Linked DNA regions of Schizosaccharomyces pombe. The protein of the gene in region 1 interacts with the protein of each later gene in a pairwise test. Each region holds a gene or a part of one and is shown on either strand. Other genes may lie near its edges.

What was found. The genes of interacting proteins can lie anywhere in the genome.
Region 2: the proteins of ste7 (region 1) and mei2 interact in a two-hybrid assay, tested with the Schizosaccharomyces pombe proteins (one study listed by BioGRID).

The regions. Positions count from the first base shown.
Region 1 is NC_003424.3:448,540-456,633, reverse strand, and holds ste7 (meiosis specific arrestin family membrane adaptor Ste7), read left to right. Parts: upstream 1-3,072; 5' UTR 3,073-3,714; coding exon 3,715-5,424; 3' UTR 5,425-5,774; downstream 5,775-8,094. Other genes in the region: lsd2 (putative histone demethylase SWIRM2), read right to left, coding at 6,104-7,339, 7,393-8,094. UniProt on the Schizosaccharomyces pombe protein: Has a role in promoting meiosis whereby it is involved in establishing the mating pheromone signaling pathway. It also has a role in suppressing meiosis until the conjugation process is complete.
Region 2 is NC_003424.3:4,508,997-4,516,642, reverse strand, and holds mei2 (RNA-binding protein Mei2), read left to right. Parts: upstream 1-1,617; 5' UTR 1,618-3,350; coding exon 3,351-5,603; 3' UTR 5,604-5,660; downstream 5,661-7,646. Other genes in the region: grp1 (GRIP domain-containing protein), read left to right, coding at 6,793-7,646. UniProt on the Schizosaccharomyces pombe protein: Crucial for commitment to meiosis but it is not sufficient itself for the commitment. May be a splicing regulator.

The DNA.
Region 1 (8,094 bases):
CCCGGATTCCCATGTTGTCTCCAACCATAGTACTAACGAGGCCCTCAGACGCTTAACTGCAGTGATCGGACGGGAACTGGTGTTTTCACCTAGGTATGGCCGTAGACAGCACGTTAAGTAAAATATAGAATTTATAGGAAAAAGAAATTTTAATTTTAGTTAGTTAATATTTTAAATTCAGGCTTGCAAAATTCCTGAACTTTGGAGTATATTTACATGAGCAATTTGATCCTTATAAGAAAATGAATATGGAGACATTAGCAACCTTCTAAAGAATAACGGGAGATGCGCTTTCAGGTTTCATTTATGTTAAAAAAGGAAAGTGCATACACGATAAAAACCAAAATAAGCAAATATCAACGCACGTGCTATACAGATGTGGAACGAAACTTAAGTAGAACAAAATGGTAGATACTTTAGTTGATGGTAATCGTAATGATAAGATTAATTTGATGAAAGCTTTATTTTTTTTGGAATGTCAATTTCATTCACTATCAGACAAAGGTTGTCTTTACAGTAGGAAATTTTTAAAAGTACAGCTAGTGGCTACTAAAAGTCAAAATTAAAGGATCTGCCTTTGTATGTATTACAAATTTTCCTATTACCCTGGGAAAATTTTAGATAAACAAACGATACTCAAAGAAAAAAAAAATCCTTTGTGCGTAAAACATTGAACCTTTGCAATGCTACTGATTTTGTTTGAAACCCGAGATAAGATACGAAGGTTGCTATGAGAAATAATGGTTTCGTTCATAGTACAAAAAAATATAGCCTTCAAAAAAAAATAAAATTGATTATGTACATTGTTTCCTAAATAAGAACAATATGGACGTTGTATTCATTGATTATTTGATTCTGGCTGATTGTTTTGCTATTGTTGACATAAACAAGCTATTAAGAATAGAGGAGCAAACTTACTCTGAGACCCTATGTGGGGGGAAATTTATCCATATACTACTACTCCCTTGCCAAGGGACCAACTTGCTGAACTTGAAAGATTTCTCACCCCCACGTAGACTTTATTCACCCACTTTAGAACCATCCCTTCTATATCTACAGTCTCCTACTTGGTGCATCTTCCTCGAATCGCATCCCCCACTTGGAACTGGTAAAAAAAAGTGGGGCTGCAACTTACTCATGATAGAGTAGAGTGCCTAAACTTCCTTATACCCCATCCTCTCTCAATGCATTTGCAAAGGAGTCCTTCTTACTTGGAACCCCTCCCCCGTGATTCAATCTAAACAACCGTGCCCCGCAAAGCACCTGTCGTGACATCACCAGAGTGGAATAAGAAATATCTAGTTGTTTATCCATGTTACAACTGTGCTGCATTTGTCATAGCGATGTTTAGTGGCAGCGATGGTTGTTTTTCATATACCCAATTTCCAGCAACAACAGAGAGACACTGAGAGAATGTGGACGGGCGTTTGTTTGAGAAGAAAAGGGTTACCACTTTATGCTCTATGCTTATTTAGGAAATTGTGGACATGTATAATGCTTAGAATAAGGTGCCTCCAAAAAAGTAACGCGGGGAGGGGCGGTTTCCCTTTCTAAGAGACTTTGACTATTGATAATATCCGAATAGGTGATTTATGCATGCAAACACAGTATGTGGGAAAACTTTTTGACAAAAAAAATGAAATCTTGCGTGTGGCCACGCAAAAAGATATCGAGATGCTGCGAGGTTGATCAACAAAGAAAGCGAAATCTGATAGGTAAGGAGGTTCAAGGCATGATGTGTTTGCAAAGGAGTGAAATGAATGTATTAAAAAAGTACCAGCGTTCGCCAACCGAAATGCGTTTGCATGGGAGACTATTCCTAGGTGTTAACTGACGGGTTTGTTTGCATTTCAGGAGTCATTTGTGCTTGTTCATTTACATTGTACCGTGTTTGTCGGCTTTCCATGGTATAACGTGAGCATTTGTAATATGTAGGCGTTATAGTATGTAATGAAACGGTTACAAAATGGCGTGTAAGAAATTCAACAGGGTATTCATTTTTTTTTCTCTTATTTTAAATAAATATAATTATTTTTTATTTAAAAAAGAATTCGTACGAATGGCGCACGAAAAATCAAGTGACCTTTGTGTCGGCAAACATTTTGCTTCTCCACGAAAAGAGAAAAGGAAAGTTTTCGCATACTATGAGGAATGTTTGTTCCCTCGGACATGAGCTTGAGTCTCCGTAAGAAGTATTTCTCTCTTTCATATTTTTCCCATCTGTCTATTTTATTTTTATGTTTTTCAGTTTCTTCTTCTTCATCTTCTAATTTCTTTCTTTCTTTCTTTCTTTCCTCTTTCCGTTTCTACTTCTTCCAAACTTTTACTTATTCTCATGTCTTTTTCCTGCCTCGCCTATTCTTACATTCTCTCTCCTCGCTTCCCCTCGATCCGTACTCCATGTGCGTAAATCTCTTTAAGCGCAATCCGTTTTTCTTCCCAAGCTCAAGCCCAATCCCGAGCTAAAACCAAACTGAAATTTCTTTACTCCCTTTTACTTCTTTAAAGCAATTCTCTTCTTTCTTCTTCATACCCTTCGGAACCTCTTCTTCTTGAAATTCCCTTGTTTACTCTTCATTCTTTCAAATTACCAAGTTGACTAGTTGCCATTGCCGCAATCCTTTTACTATTCGGAGTGCCTGCAACCGATCTCGCAAAACTCGCTTTCTTTGTTCGTAATCTCCAAACTCCGCTCTTGTTACTTTGACCGTTGAAGTGTGCATCGCTTCCATTCGTGTAGCACATGATAAGCTATCACTTTACTCGATGCTTTGTACTCTTTATCCCTGGTACCTCCTCTACTTCAAATCTTTCCCATTTACCGTTACTCCATACACCCTAGGAGGATCGTTGTCACATTGATTTACAGGGTTTATCAAGGAGTCATCGTTACCCTTTGTTGCTTGTTTGCTTGCTTGTTTGAGTGCTAGCCATGCTGGGATTAGCATGACTCAATCCAATCGCTGGTTGTATTGTTGATTTTCTTTGTTTGAAAATGGAGCAAAGCCCAGGTATACCCCTCTCGCATCACTTACTTTATATAAATCGTGTTAGCCCCAAAATTGGAGTCGCATAAATCATTAGTATTTACATTTAAGTTGTGTCAGGCACAGCAGCAGTATTTTTAATTTTTTCCTTCCTTCTTTCTTTCTTTCTTTCTTAGTATATCTATCTCTGAATATACTTGGAATAAAGCAAAAGCTTCGATAAGTTAAGATATAAAGGCTTATTTTGTAATTTGTTTTTTTTTTTTTTTTTTTTTTTCTCTCTCTTCTTCTTCTTTTTCTTTTGCTATCTCTTCTCTCCTCATCTAGCTCAATTCAGAAGATTACATGTCTATCTACTCCGCAGTCTAACTATCTCTATCTGTTTGTGCGTTTCGTTTTCTGATTTTTGTTTTAGCTGTTTCTTCAATTTCCAGCTTTTAGACATTATATACTTTACCTTTTTGTTGTCGTTCTTCTTGTTTACAAAAAGAAAATCGAGTTCTTGTTATTAAATTTTTTATTCCAAGATTTAGTGTTTAGTGTGTTTTTTATTTCTTTAAAATCTCTCTTTCTTCTTTCACGTTCACGTTGATTTGACTATTCCTTCTCAACATCTCTCATTTTCTTTATCCTTTCCCCTCTCCTCTTCTTATCAGAGCAATTCCGTTTCTCTCTTCTCATTTTTACCAGTCCCTTACTTACCAATTTCTGTACTTCCGTACCCATCATGTTTTTGGAAATAATCCTAGATTCTGCGACGTATAGCTTTGACCGTGTAATCACCGGAAAAATTTGCTTTGAAACAAATGCCGCTACCTCTCCTCGTTCCTTTCAAATTCAACTTCGCATCAAGGGTTATGCTGTTTATCATCATGGTTTCTTGTCTTCTCCTTCCCATAAACATCCAACAACTGCTTCTGCCTCCGATTCCGATGAAGCTACAGAAATTTTTACTCATTCTCAGCCTCTTCCTATACCAGCAGGTCCCTCTTCAAAGTCTCATGCCATTGACTTCAAATTTAAATTTCCTTCTAAATCCGCCTCGTCTCTTCCTTGTTCCAAGTCCAATGATTCCATGGTCAACATTTGCTACATGCTCAAAGCCACTATCAGTAAGCGTTATGCCTTTCTTGGCTCTTCTCAAAGTGCAAAGGCTGAACTCATCATGGTTCCTCCAAATTTGGCCGGTAAACCTTTGAGTGCTAATTCATCGTTCGGTTCTTCTGCTAAGACATTCCAACTTCCGGAATTTGATTCCGTTACTCCTTCTGCATCTCTCTATAAACAACCTTCCTTCAATTCCAACCCCGCTCCCATTACCACCTCTTCTGCTACTCATACTTCTCAATTTTCTACATCTTCTTCTTCTTCCGTGAATTCCGTTCATACCCCCGTTATGGTTCCTAATCCCTACTTCCAGTATAATTCATCCATGACAGCTCCATCTTCATCCTCTTCCTCAGTAGCTCCTTTCGTTCCCCGCCGTCAATTTTCTGTTTCTTCAGCCTCAGATCCACCTCAAACTCCCATTTCCATGTCACCCCCCATTCCACCTACTCCTTCTCAGTTTTCTGCTTTTATGTATCAAAATCAGCAGTCATACCTCAGTCCTCAGTCACATTATGAGAATCCTCTTTCCATATCGTCACGTCCATCGCCTTGCTGCCCTAGTACGCCTAGTAGCGCTGTAACCCTATCCAACGGTTTTGACTCGCAATCCAATGCTTATAATAATTCGGGTACCGGTCCTCCGATGCTTTATAAATTCCCTCAGCGTTCTTACACTGCCCCGAATACCTCTTTCAATTCTCAACGTCGAATGTCAAGCATTACCTCACTTCCGACTGCCTCGTTTTGTCCTGTTAAACACGGCGTTTCACCTCCATCTTTGGCAGGAAATCAACCTAGTCCTTTATCTTCTCCACTCACCAATTCTAATGTTTCTCCTTCTACCATTTGTTCACCAGACAACAACGTCACCTTTGTCAATTTAGCACCTGGTGAGAAGTTGACCTTTAAGATTGAACCAAACGACCTTATGGATGAAGAAGAGGTGGTTGAGAATTCCAATATGTACAGTATTCCTGGTAAGACTGTTGCTACAACAGTTTGTCATTCGTCATCTTCTTCCGGTGACTTTTCAGCTCTTTCATGTCATAGAAATCTATCATTTTCTGAAAGCTTGCCTACTGCTGAAGATCAAGTTCATAATAATCACTGTGCCGTATCGCCTTCCAGAAGAAGTTCATCCAATGCTCTGTATCTAGCTACTTTGCCAATGGGTTATGAACGATCTAATTCCGTATCATACTGTTCAGATTCAAGTCTTAGCTCCCCTTTGCCTGACGACAATATGCTACAAGATCCACACGCTTTGAACATGGCGTATGCTAAAGAATTCGATGTTCTTATCAATGAAGTCTTACAGTCTCTTTAATTATTTATAACAGACTTCCTGAATTACGAGTCTTTATAACAACCACTTTTTTTTTGACAATTGAGATGCCATCTCCTATTAACTTTTGGATAATGCTTTTAATTATACATGTCCAAATATGGACTGGAGTCAATAACTCGGCATTTTTATATTATTTTATTTTAATATCATATGCATCTTATGTTTTTTTTTTAACTATTTCGTTGTAGTACTTGCTTTGAGATACATAGTGTCCATGGTGTCTGCAACAAATACAACCGCATCTGTTTTGGCTTAATTTAATGATTCTTAGTTAATTTTAATTACTTTTTTTCTAATAACTTATTTTTTTATTTATTTCACAAGCGTACTAGTAATATCATTTGTTGCTTGAATATTATGTTAATGGCAAAATGGTAACATGCATTACATCCTAAAGAGTGAGAGTAGTAGCTGTGTTTACGATATCATCTTTTATCTCTTACATCTTCGGCATTAAATCAGGTTGGCTACTGGCTAACGAGAAGTGTACATGTATTTTAGATTTTCCTTAAACAATTTGCTGAAATTAGCAATTTGATAAAATGCTTCATTTAGGGCATGACGAGAATATATATGTACATAAAATTTTAAGGGTATTTGTAATGATGCGAAGTAACTAAACTTTTAAAAAACAATATGTGATTTGATTTTTTTTCTTTTAATATCGTGTTCCATTATAACCCGAATCAGAAGATCCATCGTCATGATACTCTTCGTCGCTAGCCTCTCGACTTTTGGAAATGTTGTCATCCTGAGTTTGTTTTCTTTGCTCTTCTTCTCGTTGAGCTTGCATAAACAATCTTGCTTCATCATCGGGAATAGGTTCATCTTGGCATTTGGCCGCATAATCATTTCGTATTTGCTCGGCTCTCATTTCATATTCTTTAGTTAGGCGCTGATAACGAAGAATTTTTCCAGCATAAGCTTCTCTTTGTGCTGCAATTTCATCAATCCAAGGTTTTTTACCTAAATCATCAAGCTGGCGCCAAGTTTTCCCTAGTTTGGCACGTGTTTCATTAATAGTAGCCTTCGCTGTACTATCTCCTGTTAACCTTCGCTTGTCTTCATCAGCAAGTGCACGGCATACATGCCACTGCATTTTTTGGTAAAGTAAAAAGGGATTTGCATTCGGCTTGGAAGGAGGTTCAGGTAAATAACCAAGAAGTTCAGTTACAAGCTGTTCCTGTTCTTCCTTATGCTCGTCAAGTCTTTCCTGCTTTTTCAACCTATATCTTGCCTGATAAGAAAGGTGACGCTGTGCTTCAGCATTGGGATCAAAATTATTAACTTTAGAGTTTCGCAAAAACTGATCCAATTCTTTGCGAGAGGTTTCTCCAATGATAGGTATGGTTAAGGAAATTGGAGCCAATGAATCAATAATCCCTGTACATACGGAAAGGCCAGATAAAAAGGATCTTTGTAATGTCCTACAGCCTACGCAACTGAATATATAGTCTCCAGCAATATGCAAGCGACCCAAATTATACGATAACTGACTTTGCCTAAATCTTTTTTCATATTGCTGCTTATCATTGGCAAAATTTGGATAAGAATTTAAGCCGTCATAGACACCATTTCTCGACCAGTTTGTGACCCAAGCATCTAATAAATCAGCTGAGCTGTTTGAATCATTTTGAAAATGATCTACTATTAGACTGTGTAATTCTTGAATTAAGTGGGAGGTCTCGTTAGAAGAAGAACTTGTCATTTGTGGATTGATATCCGCTACTAATATTGGGACACCAGTTTCAGGAAGCATATTCCATATTCTCAAAACAAAACAAGATTTACCATCATTCTCATCATTGTTCATTTCTTGACTTAATGATTTTGGTATAATACCAAATGATCTAATGTTCTTTCGCCAAAAAGCAGCTGCATAACGAAGAATAACCTGCTCAATGTTAACTTTATAATTGAAAAAAAAATAAATAAATAAAAACCTACCTTTTTTCCGGGTTTGAAATCTATACTTTTTATGTTTTCAGTCACGAAATTAGGAAGACCTGGTGAAAACTCTATATTTGAAGAAAAATGAGAAGGAGAGCAAGCAATTACAACTTGGTCAACCTCATAAGAAGAGTTGTCCTTACAATCAAGGGTACATTTATCATTTTCAATAGTTACCTTAGATACAAACTTCTCATAATGAATATTTAAGGGAGATGGATAAGATTGTAATGCCCATGGCAGTTGAGATAGACCTCTTCTAGCAACTTTTGGAATCAAAATATCTTTGGAGAAGTCTGTATCAACTGTGTTAAGAGGGTACAAAGTATCGTCCAATTCCGCGACCTTAAAACACCATATCAGAAATTTCTTTTGACTGTTCCCGAGTTTGGCATAAGAAGAAACTTCATCAATTAGTATTAGCATTGTTTTTTTGAAGGAAAATTCATGTGACGCATTTAATGAGAGTGATTTGGACAAATGATCAGGGAACATTTCATCTATAAACAACTGAAATTGGGATATCCAAGAAATACGAACAGATTCCTCAACGTTAATAAAAAAGCAAACAGAAACATATTCCAAAAGTTTTTCCCATAAAATGTTTAATTTTTTCACCTCAACCATGTCTAATACTTTAGTATCGGTCTCATCGTAAACTAAATCTGAGCCAGTCATCTCTGTAACTTCAATACCCAA
Region 2 (7,646 bases), 4.1 Mb from region 1:
TCCTCTTAGGTTTCTGTTCTTTCCTCAAATTCTCAATTGACATTTGTTGGTGATATAAACAACCATAGAGATAGAAGCGGTTTCTCAGGCCTTCATTTTTTTTAAACCTCAAAATTTAACTTTTGAACAATTCGTCACGTACATCAAACATCATAAACGTTTACGAAACGCATTGTCCCAAAAATAGTAAACTGGCTAAGCAATAAAACAAAAAATACACATATGTTTCTTATAAGACCTTTAATAAGAAAGCCAAAAAATATTTACTCAGCAAAGCTTTAATCTAACCATTGTTCACTGACTCTCGCTTTACTGAAGCAACATCGCTAATGATCATTTTACGTTTAAAAAAAAATAGAGTGTATACGAAAGCAAAACAAAACAAACAAAACAGAACAAAACAAAAATAATGTAAACCCAAAGTATAATCAAAAACCATCATCAGCCTTAAAATCTCTTATACATGCATACAAATCTTTTGGAATAGAATAAATATATCGCTTTTACTCTTTTTTTGTTCTGAATTCCCAACCTCTTTTTAATTGCCAAAAGTTATTAATGCTTCCTTCTTACTTGTCTTCGAGCACTTCTACAACCGTGGTACACACATATTTACCGATTTATACGTGATACATTAAAATCGAATGCGGCGTTTACTAATGTTTATAAACAAAAACGTGAGGTTGTCTACATTTACCTTCTCCACTTTTGCGCATAAAGCATTGTTTTCAAATCACTCAATAAATGCGATCTAGTTTGATCGTTGGCTAATTGGATTTCAGTGGGGAATTTTAATTGCCGAACAGCTTTATAGTTTATGTGAAAAGAAAAGAAAGTGAGCAAGTTGCTAATATTAAATGATGTAGTTATCTTTCATGCCAGAGAACAATCTGGATGTCAAACGACCTCTGTGTAAAACGCGCAAATATAGGAGACGCATGCGCTGAATAAGGGTTGAAAGAAGAAACACTGTTAAAAGAGGGTTTTGCATTGGCGAAAAAAGATGTATGGAAAAAAGCACGCGTAAATAACAAAAGAAATCCTTACCGAATTATACAGCAAGGTGGAGATTACTACACTAATGAAGGCAAATAAAAAATGTGATTTCTTTGACTTGTCCATGTTTTTCGGGATGGATACAACGTTGTTTTTTATCTATCATCTTTTTCAAACTTTCAAAAGGACTAACTTACCTTTACAAGCTATACACTAATTACCACTGATTTGAATAAATAGCCTTTTGCTTCAGTAGACAAAGCAAACACCATAAAAGAAAATGCATTTAGCGTTTCTCGCTATTTACTCTATCTAACGCGAGTCGCGTTGGCTTTCAATCTGTCCAAATTGGATCAGTTGTCCCGCTTTTTATGGGATTTTTTTTCCATTATCGTCCTCTTATATTAGAGCTTACTGACATCGCATCATAACTTTAGATAGAGTAACGAAAGCCGACCGATTTCTTTGTTCCTATTTTAAAGTTTCTTTGTTTTACAAACCCTTCTCGAGCTAGCCCCTCAGGGGCATTGCAAAAACGTTCACAGTAAATGCCTAACAGTAAAGGCTACTGAAATTTTCATCGTAGGTCTATAAATTTCGTTGATTCCCTTTGTTTTCAACGCTTTGTTTTCGCCACTGAAAGCTGCTGTTGAGATTCTTTGTTTACTTGGCTTACTTCGTTTCTTTGTTACTCTTCCCACTTTGTGTTACACGGGACAAAGGCAGGGGTAGCATAAACAGTACGTCCCATTCAATCAAGCATTCTCCCAGTAATTGTCGTAATATTTGCGAGCAAATAAAGTCCTTTTTGACTTTGTGATTTCTTTGAAATAACTTCTTTGTTCTCTAATTACTGTATCTCATTATAAAGCATCCAAGCCCTCTCATTATTCCCAACATACAATCCATCCTTCCTCCAGCAATCCGGCCGGACAGATTGTTGTAATTATCTTTACAGAACTATTTTGGGCTGGCTTTTTGATTTGTACTGAAAAGCATCGCATTGCATTGCATCGTTTTTGTTTTGTTTCGCTGCTGCCATTTAGGCTGTCGTATATTTTGTTTGTCTGAAACTTAACGTTCCTTTGTAATAGAGAAAGCAAAAAATATATACCCCATTTTAAAAAAGGAAAGGGAAATTGCTTTTTTTTTTTTTTTTTTTTTTTTTACACCTCTAGTTAGTTGAAAAACCATATGGAAAAAACTTAAGTTTTTATACATCGTGCATTTACTTCTTTTCCATTACTCCATCCTTGCCAATTGTTTCTCTTACCGTTCGCATTTTCCATCTTAATAGGACACACAGCTGCCATCATCCGCGCCAATAAACCTATCGACCGTAACAAAACATTGATACGTTTATTTATCTAATTCATTTCTTTCCTTCTTAAAATCCCCACCCGCATCTTTGTTACCTTTGAACGCAGTTGCTACTTCTCTTTTCTTTGTTTGTTTGTTTATTAATTACTTGTGCCCACTCCGAGACCAACCATCGCTTTCCCATTCCTTGTTGAAAATAGCCCATAGTAGGCATTCGCAAAGAAAGTTCAAATTATATCTTTTACCACATTATCTACATTTTCTGGCTGTATTCTTGAATCCTCATTTTGATCTTTACCAATTTTTCTTGAATCGTTATTGTCATTCCCTGATATCTTTTTCTCTTCTTTGTCCTAGAATCGATTCCTTTCTTCCCCTTTTTTCGTGTGCTTCACTTTTTAATTCCTTTTTTTGCAACCTAACTGATACGTATATATACATTTATATATATACGATTCCAATCCATTTTCTCTTCATATACGCATATACATTTTTTCTTGTATATATGTGTAAAGTTTCTAATCGATTATTTTAAATTTTTACTTGCGCTTTTCTTCTGTGGTGACAATATCCCATCTTTTTCTTTTTTTTTTAAAAAAATTAAAGGGTAGTTTCCTAGTTTTATCCCGAAAATTTCTCCTCCTCTAACGTTTGTTATTCTTTTGTTAATTTTATGAAAGACAAGTTTGTTTGTTCAAATCTTGGTTGTTATTCTTTTCGTTTGATTATATACATTTGAACGACAATTGTGATTTATTGTTGATTTTTTCTTTTCATTTCATTATTCTTTTGTTCTTTTGCATTTTCTCATCGTTTGTTTGATTTACTAACAACCATCTAACCCCTTCCTTTCTTTTCAACTTTCTGGTCTTTTAAAGTTTGTATTAACTTAATCCTTTGCAGTTCCTTTCTCTCCCTTTCTTACCACTTCTAAACAAAGTTTTATAAGTTATTAGTCATTAAGTAATTTTTTTTACTCTTTATCTATTTTAAGGATTATCGGCCAGCTTTATTGTTGCCGTTTTAACACATAAATGATTATGGAAACCGAATCACCTTTATCAATCACCTCCCCTTCTCCATCTGATTCAACTTTTCAAGTTGATATGGAGAAAACAATGCATGCTTTGCCCTCAAGTCTTCTTGACTCACCATTACTCTCTACTAACGAGCATTACCCTCCCAAGAGTACTTTACTTTTGAGTGGTCCTTCACCCATCAGAAATATTCAACTATCTGCTACCAAATCTAGTGAATCAAACTCAATTGATTATCTTACGGATACTCAAAATATCTTCCCCAACTTTGTTAATAACGAAAACAACTATCAGTTTTCAACCGCTCCTTTAAATCCTATTGATGCTTGTCGAGTTGGTGAACGGAAAGTATTCACTACAGGTAATGTTTTATTGTCAGCTGATCGACAACCTCTTAGTACATGGCAACAAAACATTTCTGTTCTCTCAGAATCCCCTCCGCAAAATGGCATTCAAAGTTACATTTCAAGTTCTGAGCAAGCAGCTCAGGCACTAACTCGTAAACCATCTGTTACCGGATTTCGTTCTTCCTCGCTTAACTCTAATTCTGACGATATAGATATATTTTCTCATGCTTCTCGTTACTTGTTCGTTACTAACCTTCCTCGTATTGTTCCTTATGCTACTTTATTGGAGCTTTTTTCAAAACTTGGAGATGTGAAAGGAATTGATACATCTTCATTGTCTACGGATGGTATATGCATTGTTGCTTTTTTCGATATTAGGCAAGCAATACAGGCCGCTAAATCACTGCGATCTCAGAGATTTTTTAATGATAGATTACTGTATTTCCAATTCTGCCAAAGAAGCAGCATTCAAAAAATGATTAATCAAGGTGCTACTATTCAATTCCTTGACGATAATGAAGGTCAACTTCTCTTAAATATGCAGGGAGGTTCTGTTCTGAGCATCCTTCAACTGCAATCTATACTTCAGACGTTCGGTCCACTTCTTATTATGAAGCCTTTAAGAAGTCAAAATGTTTCACAAATTATTTGCGAATTCTATGATACAAGAGATGCATCTTTTGCATTAGATGAATTGGATGGAAGAATTATTCATAATTGCTGCCTTCAAGTCGCTTATTACGATGCAATGGCTGATTCAGTTAGCACCTCTTCGGCCTCTAGCCTCTCTGTTCCAAGAGGATTTAGTGGGATGTTAAATAACAATTCTGAATGGAACAACTCTATGACAATGTCTTCTAACCAAGAAACTCCCACTGCTGCTAGTTGTGCTGTTTCAAGAATTGGTTCGAGTTATGGAATGTCGAATAACTTTGGATCCGTTCCCTTAGGACGCACTGAATCATCTCCAGCTTGGGGAACAAGCGGATATTACGATGTCTCTTCAACTAGCCCTGTTGCTCCCAGTGATCGAAATCCTTCCAGGCAGTATAATTCGATAAGGTATGGTTTAGATGTAAATCCTATTGCACCGCCAAATTCCTCACGTCTTAAGCAAAGGAATAGTGATTTACTGAACGGAATTAATCCACAATGGTCACCTTTTTCCTCTAATACTGGTAAAGTCTTTGATTCACCAACAGGTTCTCTTGGTATGAGGAGAAGTTTAACTGTTGGTGCAAATGCATCATGTAGTAATCCTACAAATTTAAGTTTTGCCTCACTTACTCTACACGACTCAAAAGCAGATTCTACACTATCTGCTTCTTCTCTGAATCCGGACTTGAATCTCCAAAGATATACTCCTACTGTTGAAAAACATGCTTCAGATAGAAATTCTGTCGATTATGCACAAATTGCGTCTGGAATTGACACAAGAACCACGGTAATGATAAAAAATATCCCGAATAAATTTACCCAGCAAATGCTAAGGGATTACATTGATGTTACCAACAAGGGTACCTATGATTTTCTTTATTTACGGATAGATTTTGTTAATAAATGCAATGTAGGATATGCGTTTATAAACTTTATTGAACCTCAATCTATCATTACCTTTGGCAAAGCTAGAGTGGGTACTCAATGGAACGTCTTTCACTCTGAAAAAATATGCGATATCAGCTATGCTAATATTCAAGGCAAAGACAGGCTGATTGAAAAATTCCGAAACTCGTGTGTTATGGACGAGAACCCTGCTTACCGCCCGAAAATATTTGTAAGCCATGGACCTAATAGAGGAATGGAAGAGCCTTTCCCTGCTCCCAATAATGCACGTCGTAAACTAAGATCTATTGCTAGTGCCCAACAAATAGGCTTGTTTCCTCCAACTGCAAGCAAATGTTGATTACGAAAGAGATCCTGTATTGTTTATGTTTACCTATCGCTTTGCTTACCCTTTCTTTTCTATATTTTATTTTTGTTCAATTCCAAAGTATATTATGATTGCTCCAAAAACTTCGGATGTTTTACAAATTGCAAGAATTTGCCTGCTTGTGTAAATTATATTCACTTCAAATATATGATGTTAATTTATGTTTCCAAATGGGAACGTTTTACGAAAGTATACTTATTCGATTTAATTATTAATAATGATTGATCATTTTTTGTATACGAATTTTTATGCCATAAGTTTATTATGATCAATGACGGCTCAATGCTAAATTTATGATTGCCTCAAATTTTATGTGACAAAGATCTAGTTATAGTGAACGTGCTAAAATTAACTTGTATTTTGACAAGATGGTCAACTTCACTCTGAGTATCGATATGTTTTATTCAAAATACATACTCTTACTTGAGACCTGTTTAATAAATGCCACATTGAAAAAAATGTTTAATTTTATAATTTATGCAAATAACGAGTTAAGGACAATTAAATTCCCCTTAACACAACTATTTAATCAGATAATTTCAATTGTACTGCTAGAAAATCTTCTCTCTTAAGTAACATGCTACTAAAGTCACATAAGATAGCAGTTATCGTACAAAAATGTATCTCTTATTGAAATATACGAGCTTAAAATCAGCTAGCGTTGCTTTGCTGAGAGTATATCTTCTTGCTATTAATTCCTTGTATCATTTTGGACTTACAAATAAACTTGTTAAAAAACATTCACTGTTTATTGCTTGAAGAGTTTTCAAATCTTCTAAATGTTTTCGGATCAGGCCTTGTGGTGAATTTTTATTATTAATAATAGATTGGGTAATCTCGGTTTCAATTCCATCGAATATAAAATTATCTTCAATCAATTTATATGGGCAATTTCATAGTTTATGCTTAATTTTGCTATACTAATACGGTACACAAGCATTTGATATTGTGAGATAGCGATACATTCAGTTAAAGGGTTAATCCATCTAACAGGGTGCAGTAGAATAGAGTACGCTAAAGTGGCAGAATGTTAACACTAGAATATTGTGCCATACCCAGTCAATTACAATATCTAACAACTAATATTTCCAAGCACGTATAAGATTAAATAACATTATACGATTTAATCTATGGGTACTTTCTTTCTTGGTTATCAATCAAAATGCTGGGAAGATTAAAAGATCAATTGAACATGACACTGGCCCAAGGCCAGGAAGAAGCTAAGAATCGACGTAGGCAGTTTCAAGAAGAAGATCAATTAAGAAGAAATAATAAATCTTCTAATAAGCTCTCTCAAAATGAAGAGGACGCGAAAAATATGGACTCCGTCGTACAAAAATTGAATGAACTACAAAATAACGTTGTAGCGTTTCAAAAGCTTCTACAGGAGAAAACTCCGTTGTCAAGTATTCAAGACTTAGAAGGATTCCGTGAATTTATGGAGAATTTAGAGCATCGTTATGAAATGACAGTTAGCGAAGTTAGGAGATTATCGCATGAAGTGAATGATTTACAGACTGATCGGGAGAATTTAAAACATCAGTTCGAGGATCAAATTGAAAAGCTGAACTCTGAAATAAGTAATCAAAACAGTTTAATTCTACAGAAAAAAGATGAGCTAGAAAAGTCAATACAAAGATGCTCGGAACTTGAAGAGAAGATTAATTCGTTGGAAAGTGCACAATCCATTGAGCAGGAGGTTATTTCCAGTTTGAAAGATGATAAAACAGTAGAGACAAAAAATGACGTTCCCGAAGTTTCAAGGCCCTCAACTGATACTATAGGTGTCAGCAGTGCTTTATCAAAGAAGAAGAAGAAAAGGAATCGTAAAAATCAAAAGAAAAAGTCAACTAAACAAAATATAGAAGCGACTACAGAGAATGATGCGCTTTCCGAGTCCATTAGTACGCCTGACATACAAAAGGTAGCACAAAGTGAAGATGTAGATGCAGAACAAGATACAGTTGCCGATAGTAAAGAAGAGGAACGAAGAGACATAGCTAATGATGATTTGAT